Linked DNA regions of Anolis sagrei. The protein of the gene in region 3 interacts with the protein of the main gene of each other region in a pairwise test. Links are inferred from orthologs where the notes say so. Each region holds a gene or a part of one and is shown on either strand. Other genes may lie near its edges. The genes, in order: SQSTM1, UBC, DAZAP2 and RBPMS.

Region 1 (7,727 bases), about 110 Mb from region 3:
CTTCTTATGCCACCTGAGGGCAAATCAAGAAAGGAGGGCAAATCAAAAATGGTGAACTTGGAAGTCCCTGAATGGACTTAGAAGTGGAGTGGGCAGATCAAAAGACAACCTGGCAAAATGGAACTACCTAAAAGATTCTTCCACCTTGTGCGACTGTGGAGCAGACCAAACAATTCTGCATTTATATGCTTGTCCACAATGCCCTGCCTCACGCACAGAGGAAGAATTGTTTAAAGCTACAGACAATACGGTCGTTACTGCCCAGTTTTGATCAAAAATTATGTAGTCACTTGTGCTCCTTCTATTTTTATCAGTTTTAAACTTATGTATGCAATGCTTTTGGTGTTAAATAAATAAATACTGGAATTCTAAGAGCTCGCATGGTATTGTGATTTCAATGTTGGAAGACTAAAGACCTCGTAAAACTGCAAAACCCAGGATTCCAAACTGGCTCAGCACTGCATAGAATGACTATAGACTGCACATCACCCAAAGTGCCAGTAATGTCCCTGTATTGCTAAGGAATAAAAGAAAAGAAGAAGGCCATCAGCATGAAATAGAAACCTGGCCTCCTCATTATCAGCTTTCAGTTTCCCCAAGGGTTCAGGCAGCATCTTTTGTGAGCTACATCTCTTTCAAACCATCTTGAGATGCAGGCCAACTGTATCTGAGCAACGCACAGTCTGCAAAATGTCATAGCTAATGTCAGTAATGTTTTCACTGCCATCTGGTTCGGTTTTAGAAGAGCATGTCCAGAAGAACACACAGATTAGATTCAGCTAACAAAGACTTACAATACATGAAAACAAAAGGAATCTCCATTAAGGCAACATATAAATGTCTCTTCCTACAATATGTTGTTGTTTTATTTTTGCAAACAGGTCTAAAAAAACCCCCTTAGTATCAACATCAAATGTCAGCTGCTAGAGGGGGTCCAAAAGACAAATCATTCCCAGGTGTGCCCGATCTTATTTCTAAAAATATAATACTGCCATTTGGAACAGTAAGCAAATGTGCATTAATCCACTCATTTGCAACTCCTGCTCTATGGCTCGCTAAAGATGATGGCTTGCTCTATTTGTTCCTGTTACATCTACGCATGTTTTCTTAGAAGCAGAACTCACTGAACTGAAAGAATGGTTGTGTAATCATTTATAATTACTTAATATCTTTGAATTGAATATTTATTTTCAGCCTATTTCAATTTCAGAGTAGAATGCAATGTAAAATTATCAGCACCTCTTACCAAAACTTTGAAAGAATGAATACATTGGGGATCATATAGTATAGTGCTTCTCAACCTGTGGGTTCCCGGGTGTTTTGGCCTAAAACTCCCAGAAATCCCAGCCAATTTACCAGCTATTGGGATTTCTGGGAGTTGAAGGCCAAAAACATCTGGGGACCCACAGGTTGAGAATCACTGATATGTACATATACTGTACAATGTACATATAGAAGATCAGTGATCTGAATTTTTCCACCTTTGTACATAGGTTGGCCTGTGTGAGCTTCTATTGATGATATGAGGACATCCAACAGAATCACCTATTCATCATTTTAATTTAATACCTTCCTAACAATCTTTCCTCCCATTAAATTCCTTTATTTATGTAGTTGTTAACTGGGTGTGTGTATACACACACACAAATACATATATCGAATATATGTGTATAAATATCATATGTATATACACAGAAATGAACCTGGTTGCTTCTAACAAAGCGTACTTCCTTATCAGGGGGCATGGACTGTAACTTCATACAGGCAGCCCCCAAGTTACAGACAGGATACGTTCTGTAGGTTTGTTCTTAAGTTGAATTTCTATGGAACAGCTAAATGGTGTTTGTTTTGCTGTCTGTGCCCCTGTTCTGAGTTTACCACACTTTCTGTCACTGTGATAATTGGCTTTCAAAACCTCCGGTATGCTGTGGAAACAAGGATTGGTGAGAAAGCTTCTGTGGATACCAATTTTCCCCCTGATAACTCTTTCGGGAGTGAATTTCCTTCCTGACGGGCAGATTCCTCTCACTTCCTATTGTCTCACCTCCATTCTTAACTATGAGTTGTTTGAAATTTAGATGTTTGTGACTTGGGGGCTGCCTGCAACGGTCATCCTGAGCCACCATAATGAAGTGATTTGAGGGTTGGAGTATGACTCTGGGCTCCTTCTCAACTGGGTTCGTTCCCCTTTGGCAGGCTTCAGCAGATAATATAACAAACAGCAAACTTATCGTTTTGGAGTTCAGAAACCTCTGGAAAGAGAATGGACAAAGTTCATGTGTTCGAAAGGGAACTCTATCCAGGTAACAGGACAGCAGGTAACTAATGATCTTCTATGAGCCAGTGTGTGTAATGGTTTTGAAATTTGACTAGGAGTCCCCAGTGGGGCAATGGGTTGAATCCTTATGCCAGCAGAACTGCGGACCAAAAGGTTGGCGGTTTGAATCTGGGCAGTGGAGTGAGCTCCCATCTGTTAGCTCCAGCTTTCCATGCAGGGACATGAAAGAAGCCTCCCACATTTGGGCTGGGGAGCAGAGTGAGCTCCTGCCTGTCAGATCCAGCTTCCAATGTGGTGACATAAGAGCCCTTCCACAGGATGGTAACACATCCGGGTATTCCCTGGGCAACGTTCTTGCAGATGGCCAATTCTCTCACACCATAAGCAACTTGAAGTTTCTCAAGTTGCCCCTGAGATGGAAAAAAATATCATTGGACTGATTCTGGAAACAAGGGTTTGTATCCATACTCAGACATGTAAATAATATTACTTCTGGGAAACATCAGTGGGGCAGCAGGTTAAACTGCTGAGCTGCTAAACTTGCTGATTGAAAGGTTGGTGGTTCGAATCCAGGGAGCTGGGCCCAGTTTCTGCCAACCTAGCAGTTCGAAAACATGCAAATGTGAGTAGATCAATAGATAAGGGAAGTTAATGGCACTCCATGCAGTCATGCTGGCCACAGACCTTGGAGGCGTCTAGGGATAATACTGGCTCTTCTACTTAGAAATGGAGATGAGCTGTAACCTCCAGAAGCAGACATGATTCAACTTAATGTCAAGGGAAAGCTTTACCTTTACCTTATGTGTATATACAGTAGTCTATACATCCCATGTAGACTACTGCAATGCTCTCTACGTGGGGTTGCCTTTGAAGATGGTCTGGAAGCTTCAACTAGCCCAACAAACAGCAGCCAGGTTGCTAACAGGAAAGGCGCTCAGGAAGCATGCAACCCTCTTGTTGCGCCAGCTCCACTAGCTGCCGGTTTGCTACCAGGCCCAACTCAAAGTGCTGGCTTTGGCCTATAAAGCCCTAAACGGTTCTGGCTCAACTTACCTGTCCGAACGTGTCTCCCCTTACGAATCATTGGGGACTCTAAGATCGTCTGGGGACTCTAAGATTGCTCTCGGTCCCGCCTTCGTCTATAGTACATTTGGCGGGGATGAGAGACAGGGCCTTCTCAGTGGTGGCCCCTTGGCTATGGAACACCCTCCCTATGGAGATTAGATCTGCTTCCTCCCTCTTAACGTTTCAGAGGCAAGTTAAAACATGGCTGTTCGAGCAAGAGTTTACAAATGCAGAGTAGCTAATATAGGAAAGATTTGACAATGGAACTGGACAATGCTTGATAATAATGAGACGCTAATGATTTTTATTGCTTTTGTGGTTATTTATATTGTTTAATGTTTTTATCTGTATTATGTTTTTATATGTACTGATTTGTTGGAAACCTCCTTGAGTCGCCGATTGGCTGAGAAGGGTGGTATACAAATACAATACATAAATAAATAAATAAATAAATATGGTGTATACAAAACATAAACGAATCCTGGTCTCAAAACATCCTGGTCTCCATCTGGTTCCTATGTAAACACTTGCACAGTGAAACTGTTTTCATCAATACTGGTTTGAAACAGCACTAAATGGTCAGTGTTGATGTGTCCTGATGCAGTTTGGGGCCAGTTTTGCCCACCTGGGTGTGATTCAGGAGGGGCTGGTGAGTCCTGGGACCCTTCTGCCCTTCTGGGCCCGACACCTGAAGGGAAAGGTGGGGCCAGGCAGGGCAGCCAGGTGCCTTTTGAGGCCTACCTACCTTTTCACTGGAAGCAAGGCGCAGTGAGTCAGCAATTGGACAAAAAGAGGCGGCGCCTGCCTCGGGAGGCTCCAGGGAGGCGGCAGGGCAAAGTTCGCCCTTGTTTCCCCCGCAGGGCTTGGAGAACTAGAAGGTGCTGAGTAACGCTGACAAGGGGGCTTTCAACCCCCTTTCCCAAGCCCAGGCCACGCGTTTCTATGTTTCCACCTCCTTCCTTGTTGTTGATACATTGTCATTCTTCATTTTCGGCATGGGCCAACTTGGGCCTTCCTCCAGGTGTTTTGGACTTCAACTCCCACAATTCCTAACAGCCGGTAGGCTGTTAGGAATTGTGGGAGTTGAAGTCCAAAACACCTGGAGGAAGGCCCAAGCTGGCCCATGCCTGGTGTAGAAGGGGCTCTGCCTCCTCCCTCCCTTTTGCAAACAAAAACAAACCAAACTCTCTTTCTGGAAACTGCCAGGCTCTTCAGTGGCGTGATGTCTCTCCACTTGGCCTTGCGTCACCCTCCCTCCCTCCCTCTCTCTCTCCCTCCTTCCCTGCCTGTTCCTTGGCCCGTCCTCCCCAGGCAGGGGCTTTCCCAGCCTCCGCCCGCCCCTCCGCTGCCCGCCTATAAGAGGAGCCGCGGGGCGGGCGGCAAGGCGCAGAGGCAGTCCCCGCTGGAGCCCAGGGCAGAGAGAAAGCCGGTCCGGAGGAATTCCTGCTGCGCCATGGCCCCGCTGACGGTGAAGGCCTACCTGTTAGGCAAGGAAGAGGTGACCCGCGAGATCCGCCGCTTCGCCCTCGACAGGCCGCCCCGCTTCCAGCCCATCCGCGACAAGGTGGCCGAGCTCTTCCAAGGCCTGCTCCGAAATGCCAGCCCCGGACCCGCCGGCGCCTTCCAGATGTACTACAAGGGTGAGTCAAGGAATGTGGGAGCCCCCAGGGGACATCCAGCCCCGACCCGCCACAATCGAAACATTCCCGACAGATGGCCACCCGGCCTCAGATTAGAAGGCCCCCAGGGAAGGAGGTGCTCTCCCTGGCATCCCATTGTCAAGGGATGCTCAACCGGCCCCATCCTGGCACCATCAAAACACTCCCGACAGATGGCCATCCAGCCTCTGAATAGAAGGCCCCCAGGGAAGGAGGTGCTCTCCCTGGCATCCTGTTGTCAAGGGATGCTCAACCGGCCCCATCCTGGCACCATCAAAACACTCCCGACAGATGGCCATCCAGCCTCTGAATAGAAGGCCCCCTCTGAATAGAAGGGAAGGAGGTGCTCTCCCTGGCATCCTGTTGTCAAGGGATGCTCAACCGGCCCCATCCTGGCACCATCAAAACACTCCCGACAGATGGCCATCCAGCCTCTGAATAGAAGGCCCCCAGGGAAGGAGGTGCTCTCCCTGGCATCCTGTTGTCAAGGGATGCTCAACTAGCCTTACTAAATACAACAAGGGGCTGCCAACCCTAGAATCGAGCCATAGAAGGGACCTCTAATCTGACCCCATCCCGCCACAATTGAAGCACTTCCGACAGATGGCCATGCAGCCTCTGAATAGAAGGCCCCCAGGGAAGGAAGTGCTCTCCCTGGCATCCCATTGTCAAGGGATGTTCGACCGGCCCCATCCCGGCACAATCAAAACATTCCTGACAGATGGCCATCCAGCCTCAGATTAGAAGGCCCCCAGGGAAGGAGATGCTCTCCCTGGGATCTCATTGTCAAGGGATGCTCATCCGGCCCCATCCTGACACAATGGAAACATTCCCGACAGATGGCCATCTAGCCTCTGATTAGAAGGTGCTCTCCCTGGCATCCTGTTGTCAAGGGATGCTCAACTGGCCCCACTAAATACAGCAAGGGACTGCCAACCCTAGAATTGAGCCATAGAAGGGACCCCTAATCCCACACAAAGAAGTTGGCAACCCCATCCCACCACAATCAAAGCACTCCTGACAGATGGCCATCATGCCTCTGATTAGAAGGCTCCCAAGGAAGGAGATGATCTGGCATCCCATTGTTATGGGATTCACAACCAGTCCCACTAAATAAATATAGCAAGGGACTGCCAACCCTAGAATCGAGCCATAGAGATGGAAGGGATCCCAATGGCCACCCAGTCCATTCAGTAACACCCAACCAAAGCACTCCCAACAGATGGCCACTTAGGCCCCTTCTGCACTGTCCTTATATCCCAGGATCCGATCCCAGGTTGTCTGCTTGGAGTCTACACTGCCATATAATCTGGGATGTATAAAAGGATATAAAATCTCCAGGGAAAGGGATGCCTTCCCTGGCAGCGCACTCCATTGTTAAACAGCTCATACCATTAGGAAGCTATTCCTAATTTTTAAGTGGGATCTTTTCCCTGCAATTTGAATCCATTGCTCTGTGTACTAATCCCCCCCCCCCACCTTGCTGTGACATTCTTTCCAAGGTCTAAGCCACTCCATGTTCCCTCTCAGCCTTCTTTTCTCCAAGGTAAACATTGCTCCACCTCACCAGCTGGGCTTTTGCTTTGTGAAGTGGCAGATCAAGGTCCAGGAAGAAGGCGGCGGCAGCTAGAAATTATTGCTTTTCCTGCCAGATATGGTTTTGGGAGGGGGTGGGTTGAATGTCCAGAAGCACTGTGTAACTCGTGGCTAAGGGCCCTTCCAGACTGACCCTATATTCCAGGATCTGATTTCAGGTTTTCTGTTTATCCCAGATTATCTGGCAGTGTGGACTCCTATAATCCAGTTTAAAGCAGAAAACCTGGGATCGGATCCTGGGATACAGGGCCTGTCTGAAAGGACCCTACTTGGCCCCTAAGTACCCTAGATTTTGTCTGACCTTGGAAGCTAAGCAGGTTCAGGACTGGTTAGTTCTTGGATGGGGGGCTGCCAACCAATACATGCTGTAGATTATATTCCAGAGGAATTGGCCAAACTAGATTACTCTTCATGTAAGAAAGCCAGTGTAGTGTAGTACTCTGAGTATTGGACTAGGACTCTGGAGAATAGTCTCTCTCTGAACAAACCGTGCCAAGAAAACCCCATGATAGATTTGCTTTAGGGCCGCCACCTGCGACTTGGAGGCTCACCACAACAAGAAGAAATCCCAGAGATACTCACGGGATCACCATAAGTCAATGTGCTACAGGCACGCAGCAAGCAGTGGCAACTCATCTGGTATTAGGCTTTAGTGACAAGGTTATATGGTGGGAAGCATTCTCTTACTGAGTGTTTGTGTCGAGAAGCAGTTAAAAATCCAGTGCCTTTGCACACAAAGAAGTTGGCAACCCCAGCTGGATATTCTGTACTAATGTGGAACAGGTGTCACAGCCTAGTTTAATACTAATTTAAAACAGTGGTCAGTCTCTTGAACTAAAGGCCCAGATCTGCTTGGAAATGGCAGTCTGCCACCTAAAAGCTTGCCAGTGGAGACTGGCTCTAGCAGTTGGTTTAGAAAGGTCTTCTGCTCATGTTCAGAGGTAATACTTGCACAGGTTACAACTTACAGGGTTATGAAGTGGCATTAAAAACAATTACGGGCCATGGCCTGTTCCGCTTCCTAACAATGTGTGCATAACCCACATCGTGCCTCTCCTTGTAAATGCGATCCTGCAGCGAATAACAGAAATGTGTGGGGTGGACCTAGTTGCTGGAGGCCTTGTCACCTT
Region 2 (7,622 bases), on a different chromosome or scaffold from region 3:
TTTCTGGACCCAATTTAAGGTGCTGGTTTTAACCTGGATACTTGAGACACTTTCCATACAAGCCAGATAGACTCCCAAGATCAAGTAGCAAAACACTCCTCTCCACTCGGCTCAGAGACAGGCAACACTTAAAACTGTTTAGAAATGGTACCTTCTCTAATGATAAATAGAATTGTTTACTGATTGTTGGTTCCAATGCCTTTTATACATTACTTAATGTTGTTTTATTTTGTTATATTGTTTTGTATTTTAATGTGTTACATTTTAACTGTGTTGCCCAGGCTTGGTCCCCATGTAAGCCATCCCAAGTCCTCCTCAGGCAGGGTATAAAAATAGTTTTATGTCCTAGCATTGAATATTTGCTATATATATGTTGTGCTCTACACAGAGTCACCTGCAGGGTGAGAAGGGCGGAATATAAATGTTTCAATATAAACAGAAATAAAGTCAACTTGACTAGGCTGTTGTCATAAACCGAGAAAGGCGATATGGAAGTTTCGTAATAAATAATAATCTTTATTTTTAATCTGCCCTCTCCCCCCAAATACTCAGGGCAGCAAAAAACAAAAGATGGCAAACATTTAATGCTACGCCCCCTATTAACAAATCAAAACAATTCAAGCAAACATTTGAGAAAAAAAACAGTTGAACAACCTTGGCTAAAAGATGTAACATACAACTCAAGTGAGGCCTCATAAACAACACAACAAACAGTTAAGCTGTTAAAATCTGTATAGAATATAGAAATAATAACATTATTTTTATACCCTGTCTCTATCTCCCCAAGGGGACTCGGGGCACCTTACAAAGGGACAAAAATTATAGATTAAAACAGGCACATTAAAATAAAATCAACAAACAGCAATCAAATAAAAACATATCACAATCACAGAGCAATATCATAAAAGCAATATCATGGCTGAACAAAAATCAATGCTGGGTTTGGAAGTGGGTGGGCTCAAAGTCAGTGCAATGGTTCCTAAGTAGAGCAGAGGGAAAGTGCAATGCCATTAGTGTCGAGGTTACAGGAATGAGGGCCAAACTAAAGTGCAGGAGCTTAAATAAGGTTGGAGGGATATATATATATATACACACACACACCATTTGGGGGGAGAGAGACTACAGTAAGTGAAGGAATTTGTATAACTAAGTAGACAATAATCTGAGCATTGAACTATATTATTACTATATAGGTTGTTGTTGATTGGTTTTCCCGACATTAAATCCAGTCCTATCCGACTATGAGGGTTGGTGCTCATCACTGTTTCTAACCCGAAGAGCCAGCATTGTCCGTAGACACCTCCAAGGTCATGTGGCCAGCATGACTGCATGGAGCATTGTATTATTATATAACTAAGTAGAAAATATTCTGAGCATTGGACTATATAATTATAATATAACTAAGTAGACAATGTACTGAGCATTGAACTATATCGTTATTATTATGATATAACTAAGTAGACAATATTCCGAGCATTGGACTGTATTATGATTACATCTAAATACACAGTATTCTGAGCATTGGACTATATTATTATTATTACGATGTACATTGTTGATTGGTTCTCAACCTGTGGGTCCCCAGGTGTTTTGGCCAAGAAATCCCAGCCAGTTTACCAGCTGTTAGGATTTCTGGGAGTTGAAGGCCAAAAACACCTGGGGACCCACAGGCTAAGAACCTGCTCTATAGTAAGTGAAGGAATTTGAGGACCTGTTTAGGGCAGGCACGGGCAAACTTGGGTCCTCTAGTGTTTTGGACTTCAACTCCATGGCAGTTACAGTGGCATCAACCTCTATAGCAGTGGTTCTCAACCCTGGATCACGAGGTGTTTTTGGCCTACAACTCCCAGAAATCCCAGCCAGTTTACCAGCTGTTAGGATTTCTGGGAGTTCAAAGCCAAAAACACCTGGGGGCCCACAGGTTGAGAACCACTGCTCTATAGCAAGGGCAGGCATATTTTCGACTTCAACTCCCAGCATTCCTAACAGCCTCAGGCCTCTTCCTTTTCCCCCTCAGCCACTTACGAGCAAACTTGGGTCCTTCAGATGTTTTTGGACTTCAGTTTAACTAAGGCTGTTAGGAATGCTGGGAGTTGAAGTCCAAAATCGTGCCTGCCCTAAACAGGCCCTCAAATTCCTTCATTTACTAAGTGAAGGAATTTGAGGGCCTGTTTAGGGCAGGCATGGGCAAACTTGGGTCCTCTAGGTGTTTTGGATTTCAACTCCCAGCATTCTTAACAGCCTCAGGCCTCTTCCTTTTCCCCCCTCAGCCACTTACGGGTAAACTTGGGCCCTTCAGATGTTTTTGGACTTCAGTTTAAGTAAATGAGGGGGGAAGGGAAGGGGCCTGGAGCTGTTAGGAATGCTGGGAGTTGAAGTCCAGAGGGAAGGCCTAAGTTTGCCCAGGGCTTGTCAATCAAATGCCCCGAGAGTCTATTAGAAATGGCCGCTAGGGGGCTGCCTGGAAAGCCTCGAATGGGTAGGCCTGTGACGTCACACGTGAAGCCCCGCCCCTTCCCTCCTCCCCCTCCCCCCTGGCCGCCATCTTGTCCTTCTCTGGCGCCTCAAGCGACGTCCAGAGCCTCCTCCTTCCCGGCGGCCATGATTACTTCGAGAGGCGGGCCAAGGCCTAAGCTGTGGCGGCCTCACCGTCCCGCTCGCCCCGCTCCGTGCCAAGGCCGCCCCATCCCCGCGGGAAAGGCAAGGCCAGGCCGGCCTCGTCACCAAAGGCCTCTCCGCCGCCATAATGGGCCGCCATGACGCTTTTCCTTGAGGGCGAACAGCACAATAAGCGCCCGCCGTCGCCATGGAGGCCTTACTCCAATATCGAAATTTGCATAAATTTGCATAGTCAATTTGAGTCAAATCCTCCCCTTCCCTCATTCGGATTCCTTACCACTCCTTGAAGCGTCTCCCCCTCCAAAAATTGTAGGCCGAACTCGATCGTGTTCTCGTTCCTCACACAAATGAGTCAATGCACCTCCGAAGCCCGCCCGTCTAATGTCACCCGCCAACGGCGCCCGCGTATTTATAGTCTAAGCCACGCCCCTTTTTACGTCACGCCGATAACCTTCCGCCAGAAGGGAACAAAAGAGTCCCTCAATTCGAAACGCTGAAACGCGCTATTATATCTCCACAGGAGTGTTTATTTCCCCTTAGACATTACAAGGATCGTTGACGGTTCCTTATGACTCGTTGTGTTTTTAAAAAGGGGAATATTGAAACAAAGCGCGGAAGGATACTTGAAACGAATGCTTCATTCGACCAAAGCGAGAGAGAAAGAAGAGGCGGGACTTACGGAGCTGCTCGGTTCACGATTGGTCGGGAAAGGAACTATGTGCGCTCTGATTGGCTGGAGCGTGAAAGGCTCAAGGACTGGAAAGCTCTGGAAGGAGCAAGATGGAATACGAGCGGACGAAAGGGAGGGGTGAGGGAGGAGGGGGAGGGTGGAATCCGCCCGCTGATTGGTCCGCTTTGACGTCACCCTGTTGCTAAGGCAGAACAGATTAGGAGGGAGAAATAGGGATGGTTCTGCACATGCGCAGAAAGAGGAAGAAAGAGTGGGGTGAGGGGGGAAAACAATTTCAGGGGGGAAATTTTGGCGGGAAAAACAGTTCCCTCAGGATTTTGAATAAATCCAGTCATAAATTCAGGAGGGAAATAATAGTAATAATAATAATAATAAATTCAGGAGGGAAATAATAATAATACTTACTATAATAATATAATATAATATAAATAATAATAGATAATAATAATAATGATAATGAAATAAATCCAGTCATAAATTCAGGAGGGAAATAATAATAATATATAATATATAATAATATAATATAAATAATAATAATAGATAATAATAATAACAATAATAATGAAATGAATCCAGTAATAAACTCAGGAGGGAAATAATAATAATAATAATAATAATACTTACTATAATAATATAATATTAATAATAATAATAATAATAATAACAATAATAATAATGAAATAAATCCAGTAATAATAATAATAAATTCAGGAGGGAAATAATAATAATACTATAATAATATAGTATAAATAATAATAGATAATAATAATAACAATAATGAAATAAATCCAGTAATAAATTCAGGAGGGAAATAATAATAATAATAATAATAATAATAATAATGAATTTAGGAGGGAAATAATAATAATACTATAATAATAATAATAATAATAATAATAATAATAATAATATAAATCCAGTCATAAATTCAGGATGGAAATAATAATAATGAATTCAGGAGGGAAATAATAATAATACTTACTATAATAATATAATATAAATAATAATAATAGATAATAATAATGAAATAAATCCAGTAATAAATTCAGGAGGGAAATAATAGTAGTAATAATAATAATGAATTCAGGAGGGAAATAATAATAATAATAATAATAATAATACTTTTAAAAAGGTAAAGGTAGTCCCCTGACATTAAGTCCAGTCATGTCTGACTCTGGGGTGTGGTGCTTATCTCCATTTCTAAGCCGAAGAGCCAGCGTTGTCCATAGACACTTCCAACGTCATGTGGCCGGCATGACTGCATGGAGCGCCCTTACCTTCCCGCTGGAGCGGTACCTATTTATCTACTCACATTTGCATGTTTTCGAACTGCTAGGTTGGCAGAAGCTAGGGCTGACAGCGGAAGCTCACGCCGCTCCCCGGAATCGAACCTGCGACCTTTCGATCAACAAGCTCAGCAGCTCAGTGCTTTAACCCACTGCGCCACAATAATATTTACTTACTATAATAATATAATATAAATAATAATAATAGATGATGATGATAATAATAATAATAATAATGAAATAAATCCAGTAATAAATCCAGGAGGGAAATAATAATAATAATAAAATTCAGGAGGGAAATAATAATCATACTTACTTACTATAATAATATAATATAAATAATAAAAGATAATAATAATAACAATAATAATAATGAAATAAATCCAGTAATAAATTCATGAGAGAAATAATAGTAATAATAATAATACTTATTTACTATAATAATAATAATAATAATAATAATAGATGGCTGCAGAAGGTCTAGGACTCCCAAAGGGGCAAAAAGGCCACGTATTAACCCTTATTTATAATGTTACAAAAGGCCTCCCAAATAGGCCACATATTAACCCGTATATATAATGTTAGAGAAATAAACAATAGTATGAGCATTGGACATTATTATTAGTATTATTATAATAATAATATAATTATTTAGTATTATTATATATTATTATATAATTAAGTAGAAAATATTCTGAGCATTGACCTATATTATTATTATATAACTAAATAAACAGTATTCTAAGCAATTTATCATTATTATTATTATTATACAACTAAGTAGACAATATTCTGAGCATTTAATTATATTAATATTAATGTATAAGTAGACAATATTCAGAGCATGGAACTATATTAATATTAATATTGTTATATTACTAAATAGACAATAGTCTGGGCAGCAGTTGTTATTATTAGAAACACAACAAGATTAGTACACAGCAAACATGATCACTATGCTTGGATCACACATCAGACACTTCCTAAATTATTATTATTATTATTATTATTATTATTATTATTATTATTATTATTATTATCTATGACTCTCCACTAAAAGAAGAAAGTGGTATATTCACTTTGAGAAATGTAGCTTTAGAGCCATTGCATGCATCCAAAAAAAACATCACTTTACTAATGTTACTTTACTATTATTATTATTATTATTATTGCTGTTGTTGTTGTTTATTAAACTATATATTCCACAGTGGGTTGAGAGCGTATCCCTGTCTGTTTAAATGGGAAAATTCCAGAACATTCAGTTATTAGCTCTGGAGCATTCAACGTATTCTCTTTCCTCTTGCAGATTGTGGGCAACAAATGGAAAAGCAAACAGCAGCTGACGTTATTATTGCAACGTTGGCAGAAAACCTGCGATCGCATGACTGGCTTTGATGGCGTTGGTGAATTTCAGTTTCCCAGAAGGGCAGATGGGGACTCTGCTTACAGTCAGGGACAAGGATAGAATAGTCTTAATGCTTCCAAAGAAGATTGGTTGTGTATTGTCGAAGGCTTTCATGGCCGGAATCACTCAGTTCTTGTGGGTTTTTTCGGGCTATATGGCCATGTTCTAGAGGCATTTCTCCTGACGTTTCGCCTGCATCTATGGCAAGACCTCTGAGGATGCTTGCCATAGATGCAGGCGAAACGTCAGGAGAAATGCCTCTAGAACATGGCCATATAGCCCGAAAAAACCCACAAGAACTGAAGATTGGTTGTGTTAAGATTTCACCTTCCCTTTGTTTCACTTTTTGTAGGAAGACAAAGAAGCCATATGTTGCCTTTGTCTCCATTTCCTTTTGGGTTACAATGTTGCCCTCCATTTCCCTTCTGGAGCCCTTGGCCTTCTGTAACATTGTAAAAAAAAAGGGTAAATTTGTATTCAAAAGTTCTAATAATGAATTTTAAACCCGTGCCTTGTGTCTGCTCTATTTTAATAATTGTTCTGTATGTTTTAATATATGTATATCTGTGCACTTTATATAACGATTTATATAACGATGTTTTTAGCTATGTTGTCACTCGCCTCGAGCCACGAAGTGAGGTGGGAAAGAAATAAAATTATTATTATTATTATTATTATTATTATTAGTAGTAGTAGTAGCAGTAGCAGTAGTATATACATTGCCCTTTTGTCCCTTTGGGAGACCTAATAATAATATAGTCCAATTCTCAGATTTATTGTCTACTTGTATAATGATGATAATAATATAGTCCAATACTCAGACTATTGTCTATTTATATAATAATAATAATATAGTCCAATGCTCAGACTATTATCTTCTTAGCTTAATAATAATAATAATAATAATAATAATAATATAATAATAATAATAATATAGTCCAATGTTCAGGCTATTTTCTTCTTAGTTATATAATAATAATAATAATAATAATATAGTCCAATGCTCAGACTATTGTCTATTTATATAATAATAATTAATAATAATAATAATAATAATAATATAGTCCAATGCTCAGACTATTGTCTATTTATATAATAATAATTAATAATAATAATAATAATAGAGTCCAATGCTCAGACTATTGTCTATTTATATAATAATAATTAATAATAATAATAATAATAGAGTCCAATGCTCAGACTATTATCTTCTTAGCTTAATAATAATAATAATAATAATAATAATAATATAGTCCAATGTTCAGGCTATTTGCTTCTTAGTTATATAATAATAATAATAATAATAATAATAATAATATAGTTCAATGTTCAGACTATAGTCTCCTTAGCTTAATAATAATAATAATAATATAGTCCAATGCCCAGACTATTGTCTTCTTAGTCTAATCATAATAATAATATAGTCCAATTCTCAGACTATTGTCATCTTAATTTTATAATAGGAATAGTAAGAAGAAGAAGAATAATATAGTCCACTGTTCAGACTATTCTCTACTTAGTTTAATAATAATCATACTAATATAATATAGTTCAATGCTCAGACTATTCTTAGTTTAATAATAATAATAATAATAATATAGTTCAATTCTCAGACTATTGT
Region 3 (8,015 bases):
AGGCCAGGGAACCTCAAACTAAGGCCCGGTGGCCAGATGCGGCCCTCCAAGGTCATTTACCTGGCCCTCACTCAGGGTCAACCTAAGTCTGTAACAACTTGAAAGCACACAACAACATCCCTATCACATCAGCCAAAAGCAGGGCCTCACTTCCCATTGAAATACTAATAAATTTATATGTGTTAAAACTGTTCTTCATTTTAATTATTGTATTTTTAAGTGGTTTTTGCACTACAAATAAGATATGTGCAGTGTGCATAGGAATTTATTCATATTTTTTTTCAAATTATAATCCGTCCCTCCAACAGTTTGAGGGACTGTGACCTGGCCCTCTGTTTAAAAAGTTTGAGGACCCCTGGTTTAGGCATTCAGTGGCAGGATATAGTCTACAACACCCATTATCACATAGGTTCCATCTCTTTGGATTTGTGATGTCATATAGGTTAGAATCACATTCAGGCAGTCCCCAAGTTGCAGACAATATAGGTTCTGTAAGTTTGTAAGTTGAATTAGTCTTTAAGTAGGAACAGGTGCATTTTTAAACTGTAACTCCAGCCACTTAAAGAAATACATGCATATATATGTTTTGGTTTGCATAAAGGTTAACACTCCTGAAAGATTTGTTTTGCTGTCTGTGCCCTTGTTTGGAAGATTTCACCTAATTTTCTACCCCTGTCAATTGGATTTTGAAAATATAGGGTTGTGGTGGAAACAAGGATCAGCGATAAAACTTTAGTGGGGACACCTTTTCCCCCTGTAGTGAATTTCCCTTCCTGGGGGTAAATTTCTCTCACTTCCTGTTGCTTCATATGTTTCTTAACTATGAGTCAAAATTACAATAGGTAGGTGGTTCTCAACCTTCCTAATGCCACGACCCCTTAATACAGTTCCTCATGTGGTGGTGACCCCCAACCATAAAATTATTTTCGTTGCTACTTCATAACTGTCATTTTGCTACTGTTATGAATCGTCACATAAACATCTAATATGCAGGATATATCTACATTCACTGCACCAAATTTGGCACAAATACCCGATACACCCAAATTTGAATAATGGTGGGCTTGAGGGGCAGGGACTGATTTTGTCATTTGGGAGTTGTAGTTTCTGGGAATTTTAGTTGAGCTACAATCAAAGAGCATTCTGAACTCCACCAATGATTGAATTGAACCAAACTTGGTACACAGAACTCCCATGACCAACAGAAAATACTGGAAGGGTTTGGTGGGCATGGACCTTGAGTTGTAGTTCACCAACATCCAGATAGCACTATTGACTCAAACAATAATGGATCTGGACCAAACTTGGCATGAATACTCAATATGCCCAAATGTGAACACTGGTGGATTTAGGGAAAATAGACCTTGACATTTAGGAGTTGTGCTTGCTGGGATTTATTGTTCACCTACAATCAAAAAGCATTCTGAACCCCACAGACGATAGAAATGGGCCAAACTTCCCACACAGAACCCCCATGATCAACAGAAAATACTGTGTTTTCTGATGGTCTTCGGTGACCCCTCTGACAACCCCCCCCAGGGTCCCGACCCCCAGGTTGAGAAACGCTGGGATAGGGGATTGCTTGGTAGAGTAAGGGTCCTTCTACACTGCCATATAATCCAGATTCTTAAATCAGAGAATACATATTATCTGCCTTGAACTGGACTATATGAGTCTACACTGCCATATAATCCAGTCCAAAGCAGATAATCTGGATAACAGACGGCAGTGTAGAAGGAGCCTAAATCAAGAGTTCTCAACCTGTGGGTCCCCAGGTGTTTTCGCCTTCAGCTCCCAGAAATCCTAACAGCTGGTAAACTGGCTGGGGTTTCTGAGAGTTGTAGGCCACAACACTTGGGGAAATCCCAGCCAGTTTACCAGCTGTTGCAATTTCTGGGACCTGAAGGCCAAAGCATCTGGGGACCCACAGGTTGAGAACCACTGGCCTAAATCATTACAGATTTGGGATTTTCTGATATAAGTCTGGACAGGATAGTTTTGTGATCATAACCCCCATTCTCCATTTTTCCTATGGCTGAGGCCTTGCAGGCTATTATGTTTTGCTTTATTTCCTATGCGTTTGTGTGCCTTCAAGCGCCTTGCCTGTTGTCTTATGGCAGTGGTTTTCAACCTGGGGTCCCCAGATGTTTTTGGCCCACAACTCCCAGAAATCCCAGCTAGTTTACCAGCTGTTAGGATTTCTGGGAGTTGTAGGCCAAAAACATCTGGGGACCCCAGGTTGAAAACCACTGTCTTATGGCAATCCCTGTTTATGTCATAGTGTTTCCTGAGGCAAGGGATACTAAAGAGGTGATTTTGCCCGTTCCTTCCTCTGAAATACAAGCCCCTACTGAGCTCCATCTACATTTGGTGGGAACAGAGGCAGTTTCGGGATCCTCCTCTTCCCTTTTCAAGGCCCCAACCTCAGTCCTCCTCCCTTCATCCACATCCAAAGCTTTCAGGCGGACTTGAATTGTAGAATGAGGGCAGGCATCCGCTCTGCCTTCAGTCAACCCCCTGAGTCGTGACGGTGCCTCGGGATCCCCAGGAAGCGAGGCCAGGAAGGCCCTCACACTGGAAGGGTTAACTGTCCTGAGCAGAGGCGTTGCGTCATAGCAACCGAACACCCGCCCTTCCCCCCACCCCCTCACCCCGGCTTCCCGAGGCCTCTCATTGGCCAGGGCTCCCGCCCGTTACGTCCAAGGCCCGCAGATAACGGGACTGCGGCGCCAGCCTTAAAGGGACAGCGCCCTTGCGAAAGGTGAGCGGGGACTGGGTGGGGTTGGAAGGGCAAGGGGCCTGCCTGGCTTACCTTTGCTGTTCATGGTGGCGGCGTCGAGAAAGGCGCGGAGGGAAAAGGCGGGCTGGCACGGCGACGGTTCCGGCAACTCCTGCTTTCGGCGGCGGCGGCAGGGACGGCTCTCCTCGCTCAATCACTTCCTTGTTGTTGTCGCTGCAGCCCTGAGGAGAGGGGTTACGTCGAGACGTCTGACGTCACGCCGCGACGCCGCTGAGGGGAATGGGACGCCGAGAGTGGCCGGCAGGGTCAGGGGGCGTGGTCAGGTAGGGGGCGTGGCCTCCGGCGCTGAGGGACGCACAGGCGCCTCGAAAGCTAAGCAGGGTCGGCGCTGGCTCTCGCTTGGGTGGGAGGCCGCCACTCTTGTGCAAGCCCTCATTCCCAATTGCCATGGCTTGGCCGACGTCCCAACCTTGCAGAATGAATGCACCTTGGTGCCACTTTGAACTACCATGGGAGCGTGGGAGTTATAATTTTACAAGGTCTTTCTGTTTGAATTCAACCACACACTGCTCAAGTCTGCAGTCCTCAATTTATTTATTTGTTTGTTTGTTTGTTTACAGTATTTGTATACCGCCTTTCTCACCCCGAGGGGGACTCAAAGCGATTTACACATAAGTAATGGCAAAATTCAATGCCAGTACAAACAATTACAATTATACACTACAAAACATAAATCAAATTAAAACCATACATCCATAAGCAATAAAACAATCATTAAAACAATAAACAGTCTTGTTCGTCAAATCGCCATTCCAGTCATTGTCTTCCTGAAATGCTGCATACATTTACTTCTGCTGCCCGAAGGCCTGGTCCCAAAACCATGATTTTAATTTTTTTTTCTAAAAGCCAGGAGGGAGGGAGCGGATCTTACCTCATTTGGGAGTGTGTTCCATAGGTGGGGGGCCACAGCCGAGAAGGCCCTGTCTCTCATCCCTGCCAGACGCATTTGCACTGGTGACGGGAGCGAGAGCAGGGCCTCCCCGGATGATCTTAGATCACGAGGTGGGACATAGGGGTGGATGCGTTCGGATTACGAGGTGGGACGTAGGGGTGGATGCGTTCGGACAAGTAAACTGGGCCAGAACCGTATAGAGCTTTATAGGTCAAGACCAGCACTTTGAATTGGGCTCTGAGATGGATCGGCAATGAGAAGCAACTAGATAGCATTAGGCTAGGCCAGGCCTGGGCAAACTTGGGCCCTCCTGGTATTTTGGACTTAAACTCCCACAATTCCAAACAGCCTCAAATTAAGCAGATAAGGGGGGGGGGGGGGGAGGTCCTGAGGCTTTTAGGAATTGTAGGAGTTGAAGTCCAAAACACCAGGAGGGCCCAAGTTTAGGGACTGAACTTTGCATCTTTGCCTCCATAGCTCAAGAATTCTTTTACAGCCACAACACTGCACCTTCTGATTGCTGTGAGCTAACTGCTCAGTTAAGTATCCCGTTTTGCATTGTTAAATACTCTGCTATTTTGGAGACTTCTATGACAGATGGGAAACAATCAGGCACACCTAATCACCTCTCAACAAAAGATTTCCCCAGCCACTGCCAGGCCATCAAATGCTAATCAAGATGGTCAGTTGAAACATTCACACCTAGCTCCAACAGACAAGAGTTCTTTGCCCCACCGGGTCTTTCCACAGATATATAAACCCACTTTCCTAGTTCCAATAGACCTCACTACCTCTGAGGATGCTTGCCATAGATGCAGGCGAAATGTCAGGGAAAAATGCCTCTAGAACATGGCCCTATAGCCCGAAAAAACCTACAACAACCCACTTCTATAACACTTGCAGCCTTCTCTGCTGAAGAGTGTGCTTCATCAAATTACATCATAAGACCCACTGCAAAATCCATTGGCCTCGAGTAAATACGCTTTGGAATGGGTTGTAAAATGTCTTTTTAAAGTGTTAAATCCTATATCGCATTGTTTTTAGCACTGTTTGCTGCTGTTTTCTTTTAAGCTATAAATAAAATCCTGTGGTTTTTTTTCCACTTTAGAAGACTCGGTGTTATCCTTGCATTTTTTTACCATTACACCGGCATTCTTTGGCAGAGAGTGCCAATGACATTGTAAAACTACAACTCCCAAGATTCAATAGCACTATTTATTTATCATATCAGAAGCAAACCAAGGGTACAACTGTAATGTATTTTAAAAAACACACACACAAAGTTTTAAAACTTGGCAAATATTAAATGTCCTTTGACCAGGAGCTGGCCACTTGGAATGCCTCTGGAATGCCTCTGGTGTTGCTATAAGGAGGTCCTCTATTGAGCATGTGGCAGGGCTCAGGCTGCATTGTGATCAGTGGTCTGTGGTTTGCTCTTCTCCACACTTGCATGTCATGGGCTCCACTGTGTGGCCCCATTTCTTAAGGTTGGCTCTGCATCTCGTGGTGCCAGAGCGCAGTCTGTTCAGTGCTTTCCAAGTCACCCATTTTTCTGTGTGCCCGGGGGGGGGGGGGGAGTCTCCCATTTGGTATCAGCAATGAGTTGAGGTTTCAGGTTTTAGCCTGCCACTTTTGGACTCTCACTTGCTGAGGTGTTCCTGTGAGTATCTCTGTAGATCTTAGAAAACATTTCTTGATTTAAAGCATTGGTGTGCTGTGTGATATCCAAACAGAGCATGGGTCGAATATGTCACTGCCTTGGTCCTTTCATTATTGGCTGCTACTTCTCGGCGGATGTCAAGTGGTGCAATACTGGCTAAACAGTATAATTTATCCAGTGGTGTGGGGTGTAGATATCCTGTGATAATGTGGCATGTCTCATTAAGAGCCACATCCACTGTTTTTGCATGGTGAGATGTGTTCCACACTGGGCATGCGTACTCAGCAGCATAGTTTATCTGCCAGTGCGTGTTTATCTTCTTCTACCACTGTGTCTGGTGGTGATCCCCAGGTTGTGCCAGTCAGCTTTCGTATGATATTATTTCTAGCACCCACTTTTTGCTTGATATTCAGCACTGAGACATGGCAGTTGAAGTAGTGTCAAACTGCATCAATTTTTACAGTGTAGATGCACCTTTGGCATCAGAGGGTGGATCTATCTTGGATGGTTCTCCCAACAGAATGACAATATGTCATGAGGACTTCACATTGTACAGTACAACTCCCCCCCCCCCCCCCCCCCACACACACTATGTTTTAATCTATGATTCCTATTCTTATAGTCTTAAGAAAAGTCAAGACAGAAATTTTGATTTGAGAAAGAAATATTTAAACTGTTGGTAAAAACAAATAATGCCAATACTGTAATGCTTTGATTCCCCCCCCCCCCTTTTTTTTTCTTTTTCTTTTTTATCTCTTTTACTTACTCTTCTATTGAACAGTGTGATGCTATTACCTTTCGTTTTGTTGGTTTGATGAAAGGAATGTTTCATTTTGGCTGTTTTTCTTCTAGGAAAGTGTTTCCAGCCAGGTGTGCTGTCTGGGCTCACTTTGATGCAGTAATAACAGTGGAGTCAACACCTATTTTGCATAGGTTTGTAGTTTTACATATTTATGTATTTTATGTAAATAGGAGTAGGAACAAACACGCATACAACCCAAATGATGCAGTCTAAAATGCAAAGCATACAACGGAAATGGCAACTGTAAAATGTGGTTTACAAAATGTGTTTTTCAAAATTTTTCTTTTGGTGTGATCCTACATATTTATCCTAGGGTGCATCTAAACTTTAGAATTAAGGTAGTTCAATACCACATTAACTGCCATATCCCAATGCTGTGGAATTGTGGGAGTCATGGTTTTATATGATGTTTGGACTGATCTGCCAAAGAATGCAGGTGCCTCATTAAACTACAACTCTCATTATAACTTGTGACCACTTTTTGTGTGACTGTGGGTATATAGGTAGATAAAACATAACAGATATAAATATCGAACATTTACTGATAGCAAATCAGCATTTGTAAGGCTTGCTAAACAGGCTGATTTTCCTTTTTATGGATACAGCAGAAGCATTTTCTGCAGAGTCAACTGTAAACACTGCATATTGTTGCGAAGAGATTTATGTAAACGGGTGGTGTTCAGAAACCTTTTTCTCTTGTTATATTTTTGTGTTGAGCCATTTGGGGTTGAAACTGATAATTTAAGACACAGTACTATAGAGCAATCACAACTCCACATTCTGAAGTTGAAATATTGGAGAATTGGACAGACACAAAAATCTGAAAGGATAAGCTGCATAGGGTGCTAAGGAACCACTATTCCTAATTCAAGGCTTTAAATGAAACGAGTGTTTGATTATATATTGACTCTCCTTGTGCCACCTATGAAGCATCTGGTAAGGGTTATCAAACTGACTTTTTCAAATTCTTGATATTGAATTCTTAGATCTCTGTGCTGTGTTTCATCCTTCTAGCAACCCTATGAAGCAGAGGTGATCTGCCCAAGAGCTACATGTCTGATATGGGGTTGATTTCCCAGATCCAACTCCATGTTGGTCTGTAGAATATCAACCAGTAGTTATCCATCAGCTAAATGTGGCCATGGGCCAAAAGTTCTTTTAAAGGCAGCATCTACATTGTAGAATGAATGCAGTTTACCTCACTTTTACTGCTATGACTCAGTGCTATAGGTGTAGCAGTTTTAAAGGATTTTTAGTCCTGCCTGCCAAATAATACTGGTGTCTCACTAAATTACAACTCCTAGGATTTCATACCATTGAGTCATAGCAGTTTGAGTGCTATCAGACTACAGTCTAAATGCACTCTAGGACTACATTTCCATATACTGCTTAATACCCGCTGGTCCATGTAATGGAGCCAATCCCCTTCTCTGACAACATTAAGGAAATGGCCATTTAATTTTGGTTTCACCGAGACGAACAACAGTTCTCTTGGGAGATAAAAATGAGTTGGGGAACTATCATTAGCCTCTCAGGCATTACATTTCTCTGCTGAGGAGCTGTGCTTTGGAAAAGAAACAAGCGAGCGTCCAAATTCATGCATAAGAGATCAATGGAAAGAACAGAGACCCTGCAAATATATTTTAAGTTTAATTAAGCCTTGAGGCTGTTAAACTTACACCAGTCAAAGAGCTCTGCTCATTAGCATTGAACTAATGCTTTGTTAGTTATTTTGGCATCGGCTTTAGGTTATGTTAGTTATTTTAAAGCCTACCCTCTTGGATGTTATCATAGCGGAAAGAGGGAGTGGTGATCGCTGCTGCCCCTGGCTGCCTTTTTTTTCCTCTTGTTGCAGCCAGAT
Region 4 (7,457 bases), about 42 Mb from region 3:
CCATTACTGCAGCTGGCACTTATTTGATTCCTAATGTTTACAGCTTGGCCGTGTTTACAGCAATTTACTGCCATGGTTAGAGGACCGCAGTTTGACTGAGTCTGAGTTGATGTTTTTATATGTGCATGTGTTTTATTTTACTGTGTTTTATATTGTGCTCACACTTTTATGTTTTGTTTTTAGGCACTTTGTGCTTCCTGTACCATCTCCCCAAAGTCCCTTTGGGGAGATGGTAGCGGGATATAAGAATAAAGTTGTTCTGGTTGTTATTTTTGGTGATAAAGCTTCAGTGGAGACAACTTTTCCCCATGACAAGAGTGGATATCCCTTCGTATGGATAGATTTCTCCACTTCCTGTTGTCTCAACCCCAATTGTAACTATGAGTCGTATATAAGTCGGATGTTTCTAACTTGGAGATTGTATATCCTGTAATTCTAAGGCACATCCCATTTTTAGATCTGTTTATATAGGGGGGAAAGTGCTTTTTAGTATTGAAGAAATACAGCGTTACACTCTTACCCAAAGGGACGAGAATGAATAAATCTTACATATCAGGGTCCCATCCCCCCCCCCCCCCCCCCAAAATACAGGCAAGACAAATCTGGAGCATCAGGAAATGTTTTTCTCCCTGTTGTTCCATAAAAGTGCTATTTGTGCCAGTAAGATAGCACAGTTTGGCACCAACTCTTAACTGATTTGTTATCCTGCTGCTTTCACTATACTCCAAAATGAGTCCCAAAACTCAGCATAGCCCAGGCATGGGCAAATTTGGGCCCTCCTTTTTTTCCCCCAGCCACTTAAGTTGAGGGGGAAAGGAGGGCCCAAATCTGCCCATGCCCAGGCTATGCTGAGTTTTGGGCTCAAGCAGCTGAGAGGGAAAAGGAAAGGGCCTGAGGCTGTTAGAAATAGTGGGAATCGTAGTCCAAACCCCCTGGAGGGCCCAAGAGTGCCCATGCCTGGCATAGCTATCTTTCTTGATCCCTCCAATGTGGTCCTATAGGAAAAGGTGACTTCACTCCCAAACTACCTTCCGCATCAGATCCTACTGGCTCACTCTAAACCACCATATAATCCTGTTTCTGAATTGAGATTATCTGCTTTGAACTGAATTATATATACGAGTTAATACTGCCATATAATCCACTCCAAAGTAGATAATCTGGATTCAGAAACTGGGTTATATGGAAGTAGAGGTGGTCCAAGGCCCCTACTATACAGCTGAATAAAATCCCACATTATCAGCTTTGAATTGGGTTATATGTCAGTGTGGACTCAGGGCCCTTCCACACAGCCCTATACCCCAGAATATCAAGGCAGAAAATCCCACAATATCTGAGTGCAGACTGAGATAATGCAGTTCAAAGTAGATATCGTAGAGTTTTCTGCCTTGATATTCTGGGTTACAGGGCTGTGTGGAAGGGCCCTCAGATAACCCAGTTCCAAAGTAGATTTTGTGGGATGTTCTGCCTTGATATGGCTGTGTGGAAGAGCCCTCTGATAACCCAGTTCCAAAGTAGATTTTGTGGGGTTTTCTGCCTTGATATTCTGGGTTATATGGCTGTGTGGAAGGGCCCTCTGATAACCCAGCTGAAAGCAGATCTTGTGGGATTTTCTGCCTTGATATTCTGGGTTACATGGCTGTGTGGAAGGGTCCTGAGTGTTGAACTTCCATCGGTTTCCACAGGCTCAGCAAATACAAATTCACAAACTATTCAACTCACAACCCTCTAAGGATGCCTGCCATGGATGTGGGCGAAACGTCAGGAGAGAATGCTTCTGGAACATGGCCATACAGGCCGGAAAACTCACAGCAACCCAACTATTCGACTGCTATGAAGCCATCAAAGCACAGAAATATATACAGGGTGACGGGGGGGGGGGGATATCCCAGAATATCAAGGCAGAAAATCCCACATTATCTGAGTGTGGACTCAGATAACCCAGTTCAAAGCAGCTACTGTGGCATTTCCTGCCTTGATATTCTGGGATACATATAGGGCTGTGTGGAAGGGCGCCGGACGACGCGACAAAAAGTTTCACAAACTCCCCTTCGCCATGAAAAAGACGAAGCAGATCAAGCGGTGTCAATACGCATTCATGCTACAGTGTAGAGGCGCACCCTTTTCAAAGCCTGTGCTTTGGATTCCCACCCTTTTCCCCTGGATCTAAATCGGATTCTAATAGGGAAAGAATGTGCTGGATGCGTTATCGATTACCGGGCGTCCTTCTTGTTGTTGTTTCCCTACAAGGAAGGCGATGGCAGGGAGGGAGGGAAACAAAAGTTTCCCGAAAGTTAAGGCTGGAAGGGAAGAAGGAAGGAAGGGAAGGAAAGAGCCAGGCGCCTCTGTTGTTGTTTCCCTCCCTCCCTGCCATCGCCTTCCTTGTAGGGAAACAACAACAGAGGCGCCTGGCTCTTTCCTTCCCTTCCTTCCTTCTTCCCTTCCAGCCTTAACTTTCGGGAGCGGCGTTGCGCAATCGCTCTCCTCCCGAGCTGCGCGAGCCACAGAGACGCCCCCGAAAGCGCCCTCCAACTTTCCCCACAGGAAGGGTACCTCTTCCTCGGTCAGGCTGGGCTCCGGCGGAGTGGGCTCCTGCTCGCCTTTCGCGCTGTTCATGGTCTCCTCCTCTCCCTCTCCTCCTTCTCCTGGGCTGGGGCACTCGCCCTGGCCGCCCGCAGCTCTTCCAGCCGCATACAGGGGCTGCTCCGGGGAGGAAGCGGGGCGGCGAAGGCAGCGAGATAAGACCTCCGTCTCCCTCTGAGGCGAAGAAGGAATGAGCTGAGGGGAAGAAGAGAGGAGAGAGGAGGGCGCGCGCAGCCCCCCACCCCACCCTGTCTCCGCGCGCGCCCGGCTCTGATTGGCGGAGAGGCGGCGCCCTCGACGGCGCGAGAAAGGAGGGCAGGGAAGCGCGAGACCCCCCGCCGCGGCACGTGAGGGGAGGAGGCGGCGCCAAAGCTCAACCGTCGAGGCTTCCACTGCCTTGGCCTGCTGGCTACCCTCTCTTGCCCCTGCCAAGCTTGACAGGCGTCTGCACGTCTACACAATAAAGCAGCACGATCTCCAGAAGACGCTTCCTTCTTGGGAGGAGAGCAATGTCCAGTCTCCATAAAATAGTAAAGAGTAGAGACATCAGACTGGCAACAAAGATCCGCCTAGTCAAAGCCATGGTATTCCCTGTAGTAACCTACGGATGTGAGAGCTGGACCTTAGGGAAGGCTGAGCGAAGGAAGATCGATGCTTTTGAGCTGTGGTGCTGGAGGAAAGTGCTGAGAGTGCCTTGGACTGTGAGAAGATCCAACCAGTCCATACTTCAAGAAATAAAGCCTGACTGCTCACTGGAGGGAAGGATACTAGAGACAAAGCTGAAGTACTTTGGCCACATCATGAGGAAACAGCAAAGCCTAGAGAAGGGAATGATGCTGGGGAAAGTGGAAGGCAAAAGGAAGAGAGGCCGACCAAGGGCAAGGTGGATGGATGGCATCCTTGAAGTGACTGGACTGACCTTGAAGGAGCTGGGGGTGGTGATGGCGGACAGGGAGCTCTGGCGTGGGCTGGTCCATGAGGTCACGAAGAGTCGGAGACGACTGAACGAATGAACAACAACATCTCCATTCCCATTCATTCATGCCATGTGCGGTGGCGCAGTGGGTTAAACCCCTGTGCCGGCAGGACTGAAGACAGACAGTTCGCAGGTTCAAATCCGGGGAGAGGCGGATGAGCTCCCTCTATCAGCTCCAGCTCCTCATACGGGGACATGAGAGAAGACTCCCACAAGGATGATAAAAACATCAAATCATCCAGGCGTCCCCTGGGCAACGTCCTTGCAGATGGCCAATTCTCTCACACCAGAAGCAACTTGCAGTTTCTCAACCTGCTCCTGACACGACAAAAAGAAAAAAATGCCATGTGCGGGCTTGACGAATGCAAGGCTGGGGTTAAAACTGCTGGAAGAAACATTAACAACCTTAGATATGCAGATGATACCTCTTTCATGGCTGAAAGCGAGGAGGAGCTGAGGAGCCTTCTAATCAAGGTGAAAGAAGAAAGCGCAAAAGCTGGGTTGCAGCTAAACGTAAAAAAACCAAGATTATGGCAACAAGAATGATTGACAACTGGGAAATAACTGAAGACCTGGTTGTTTGAGCAGGCATTTGAATAGGCAGTGTAACGAACATAGGAATATGGAACAAATGAATGATGAGACTGGATCTTGATTTTTATTATGAGATGCTAATGAGATGTTTTATTTATTTATATTGACTGTTTATTATGCTACTGTTTTTAATTGTTTTTAACTGATTTATGATGGTTAGTAGGGAGAGAGGGGAAAGCTTTCATACCTAGTGAGGGCTCCAGGGGTCCTGGGGCCATCCCTTTGCACAGCTCTGGCAAAGGCAGGACATCCTTCCTTCATGGCGGTCACTGTAGGATCCTGTTTTCTCTTCCTGGGGCCTCTCCTGTGATGGCCTTCCCCAGCCTCAAGGGGGGGCTGTCTCTTCTGGGTGGCTGGAGGTCTGGTCCTGCCCTTCTGGGATCCTCCTGTGCCATCTGAGTTCCAGCTGCCACATGAGAAAACCCGCAGAGCTCCCGCAGACTCACCACCCAGGTAGCTGTCCACAGTGGCAGGAGTGGATTATGGATCCTGGATCCAGTCTGATCTGATGTCCCTTGTCAGGTGGTCTTCTGGTTCATTTCAGCTGTGCCGGGAGGTCCCCTGGACCCTACAGTGCCCTTCTCATATTTAAAGGCAGTTAGAGGGGCCATTAAAAGATTCACACACATGCATTTGGGGAGGGGAGGGAGATGGACCAGGAAAGAAGAAAAGGGTTGTTGAGGGACTGTGCAGAGTGAAAGAGAGAGAGAGAGAGAGAGCCTTAGCTATAGGGGCAAGACAGGATTTTGACTGTCTATGTTATAAGGAGCAATGGGGATGCTGGGGGCCCCCTTGGCAGGGGGAAGAGAGGGGAAGAGAAAGTTGAGGCACTTTTAGCCTAGGAAAACATGAAGCGGAGGGAAAAGATATGAACGCATGGAAATGTTTTGTGGAACATGATTTTCAGAGAGGGAGAAAGGATAATCCAGGGGGCGTAAATCATTCCCAGACACCCCAAGAGGTGTGTTTGGCGGAGGAAAAACAGAAAATCTAGGATGAAATTGTCCCTGAATTAAAGCCTTCACTTGGGTGGTGGGCAGTGTGGTGTTTGTGGAGGACATTGGCAGGGCTCTTTGGACATGTTTATGGCAATCGCTATAACCTGCAATGTCAGTGAGGGAGGGTCTTTGGTGTTCGCTTCATAGGTGGGGGTTATAGCTGTTGATGGAGGCGGGAGCCTGTCTGTGAAAGTGGGCACCCCAGCCTCATACATACAGATTTTCACTTTTATTATGTGTATTGATAATGATTGATAGATAGATATAGATATATATTGATATATATTGATATGAGACTATGGTCTTTACAACTCAATTATATGCGATACATGGACCGTCCAAGCTTGTAGCCAAGGGGGCAGTTTAGGGATTCAACACCCTCCCTGAAATTTGTCAGATCAAAAATAAAACAAAACACTGGTTTGCTCATGAATTTTTACTGGTTAACTAAATCCCCATGCCAAGCCTATGAGAAGCAACAATTAGAGTTCCTCCAGAGCTACAAGCACTCTCTCAACCAAATTTAGATGATTCACACTATCATTGCCTGCCTTTCTACCAATTTACATTGCAATAGCAGTAATAGCTGACATAGTGGAAGCTGCCAAAATGTGGTAGCCAGCAGGCAAAGCCTAAGGCACGGGACAGGGAGGAGGATTTGACCTGGATTGCAGGTAAAAACTGTGGAAACTGAAGAGTACCATCAGAAAAACTTGTGCTTGGCTGAAAATGTCTTGCTAATTCACGGTAAAATATCTTGACGTAAACCGTCATCACGACAAAGGAAATAAGAAGAAAGCAGAAAAAAAAAACAGAAAAAAACTTCTGCCAATTTTGGAAACTATTGTCCTTTGTGACCGACAAGAGGGAGAAAGATTCAGGACCTATTACCTGTGAAGTCCCCAGTGGTGCAGTGAGTTAAACCCTTGTGCTGGCAGGACTGAAGATCAACAGGTCGCAGGTTCAAATCTGGGGAGAGCACTCATGAGCTCCCTCCGTCAGCTCCAGCTCCCCATGCGGGGTCATGACAGAAGCCTCCCACAAGGATGATAAAAACATCAGAACATCCAGGCGTCTCCTGGGCAATGTCCTTACAGACGGCCAATTCTCTCACACCAGAAGCAACTTGCAGTTTCTCAGGTCGCTCCTGACACGAAAAAGAAGAAGAAGAAAACCATGAAGAACCTTTGCATAATGATGGTAATTTCAGAGCCTTTTTAAAATCTACCAGATCAGTTGATACTGATCTGAAAAGTCATGTGGGCAGGGTGGGAGGGGGGAGTTTCAACTCCTCCCGAAAGCTATCTGCAAACATCACTCTTGACTTCTAGAATATTGCCTCAGCTTTGCCTCCAAAAAATCCTGCAAATCTCTTGGGAAGATGGATGTACAAACATCAGTATTCTGGAAGAAGCAAAGACCACCAGCATTGAAGCCATGATCCTTCGCCATCAAATTTGCTGGACCGACCACATTGTCTGAATCCCCGATCACCGTCTCTCAAGGCTGCTACTTTACTCTTAGTTTCAGAACGTAAACGGAATGTCAGGTAGATAGCAAAAGAGATTTGAAGATGGGCTTAAAGATGACCTTTAAAATTTGGTATAAACACTGAATCTGGGAAGCTTTGGCTCTTGAACGTCTAACTGGAGGTCAGCTGTAACTAACAGTGCTGTGGAATTTGAAGGGGCACGAATGGAGGGCGAAAGGAAGAAACGTGTCAAAAGGAAGGCATGTCAAGCCAACCCCTGTTGGGACTGCCTTCTATCTGGAAATGTATGTCCTCAATTTGAAAGACCATGCGAAACCAGTCACTTCCTTCCCAGTCTAAACTTTTGGGAAATTCAAGTGAGTTTATTGCAGAGGAGAAGCTATATATGGAGAGAGATCCCTAAAACCATTCCTGGGGTGCATCTGGCAGAATTCATGCACTTTAACACCACTCTAACTACCAGTGTACAATTGTATGGAATCTTGGGAACTGTAGTTCTACAAGGAGCTTTAGCCTTCTATGCTGGAGAGTACTGCTGCCTCACAAACTACACTTTCCAGGATTCAATAGCATTGAGCCATGAAAACTTAAAGTGGTATCAAACTGCATTAATTCTACAGTGTAGATTCAGCGCTAGTCTCATATCTTTTTCCCATGACAAGATTTCCTCTTTCATTACTGTTTTGCCACCCCCAGTTCTATTTAAACGTTTAAGCTTGGTAACCTTATCTTAATAGTTTTCAGGAGGAAAGAAATATCACACCATTAAGACCTACCCAGATTGTAACCCTAGCACCTGGTTGAACTTACTGAG

The links.
Region 1: the proteins of DAZAP2 (region 3) and SQSTM1 interact in binary tests that used the Homo sapiens proteins (3 or more experiments, as listed by UniProt). The link is inferred for Anolis sagrei from reciprocal best matches to the Homo sapiens genes DAZAP2 and SQSTM1.
Region 2: the proteins of DAZAP2 (region 3) and UBC interact in binary tests that used the Homo sapiens proteins (3 or more experiments, as listed by UniProt). The two-hybrid records come from large-scale screens. The link is inferred for Anolis sagrei from reciprocal best matches to the Homo sapiens genes DAZAP2 and UBC.
Region 4: the proteins of DAZAP2 (region 3) and RBPMS interact in binary tests that used the Homo sapiens proteins (3 or more experiments, as listed by UniProt). The two-hybrid records come from large-scale screens. The link is inferred for Anolis sagrei from reciprocal best matches to the Homo sapiens genes DAZAP2 and RBPMS.

The regions. Positions count from the first base shown.
Region 1 is NC_090022.1:86,649,211-86,656,937, reverse strand, and holds the start of SQSTM1 (sequestosome-1), read left to right. Parts: upstream 1-4,709; 5' UTR 4,710-4,796; coding exon 4,797-4,983; intron 4,984-7,727. UniProt on the Homo sapiens protein: Molecular adapter required for selective macroautophagy (aggrephagy) by acting as a bridge between polyubiquitinated proteins and autophagosomes.
Region 2 is NC_090031.1:29,395,902-29,403,523, reverse strand, and holds the start of UBC (polyubiquitin-C), read right to left. Parts: upstream 3,021-7,622; 5' UTR 2,897-3,020; intron 1-2,896.
Region 3 is NC_090022.1:192,268,745-192,276,759, reverse strand, and holds the start of DAZAP2 (DAZ-associated protein 2), read right to left. Parts: upstream 3,009-8,015; 5' UTR 2,826-3,008; coding exon 2,813-2,825; intron 1-2,812. UniProt on the Homo sapiens protein: In unstressed cells, promotes SIAH1-mediated polyubiquitination and degradation of the serine/threonine-protein kinase HIPK2, probably by acting as a loading factor that potentiates complex formation between HIPK2 and ubiquitin ligase SIAH1.
Region 4 is NC_090022.1:150,009,294-150,016,750, reverse strand, and holds the start of RBPMS (RNA-binding protein with multiple splicing), read right to left. Parts: upstream 3,021-7,457; 5' UTR 2,617-3,020; coding exon 2,554-2,616; intron 1-2,553.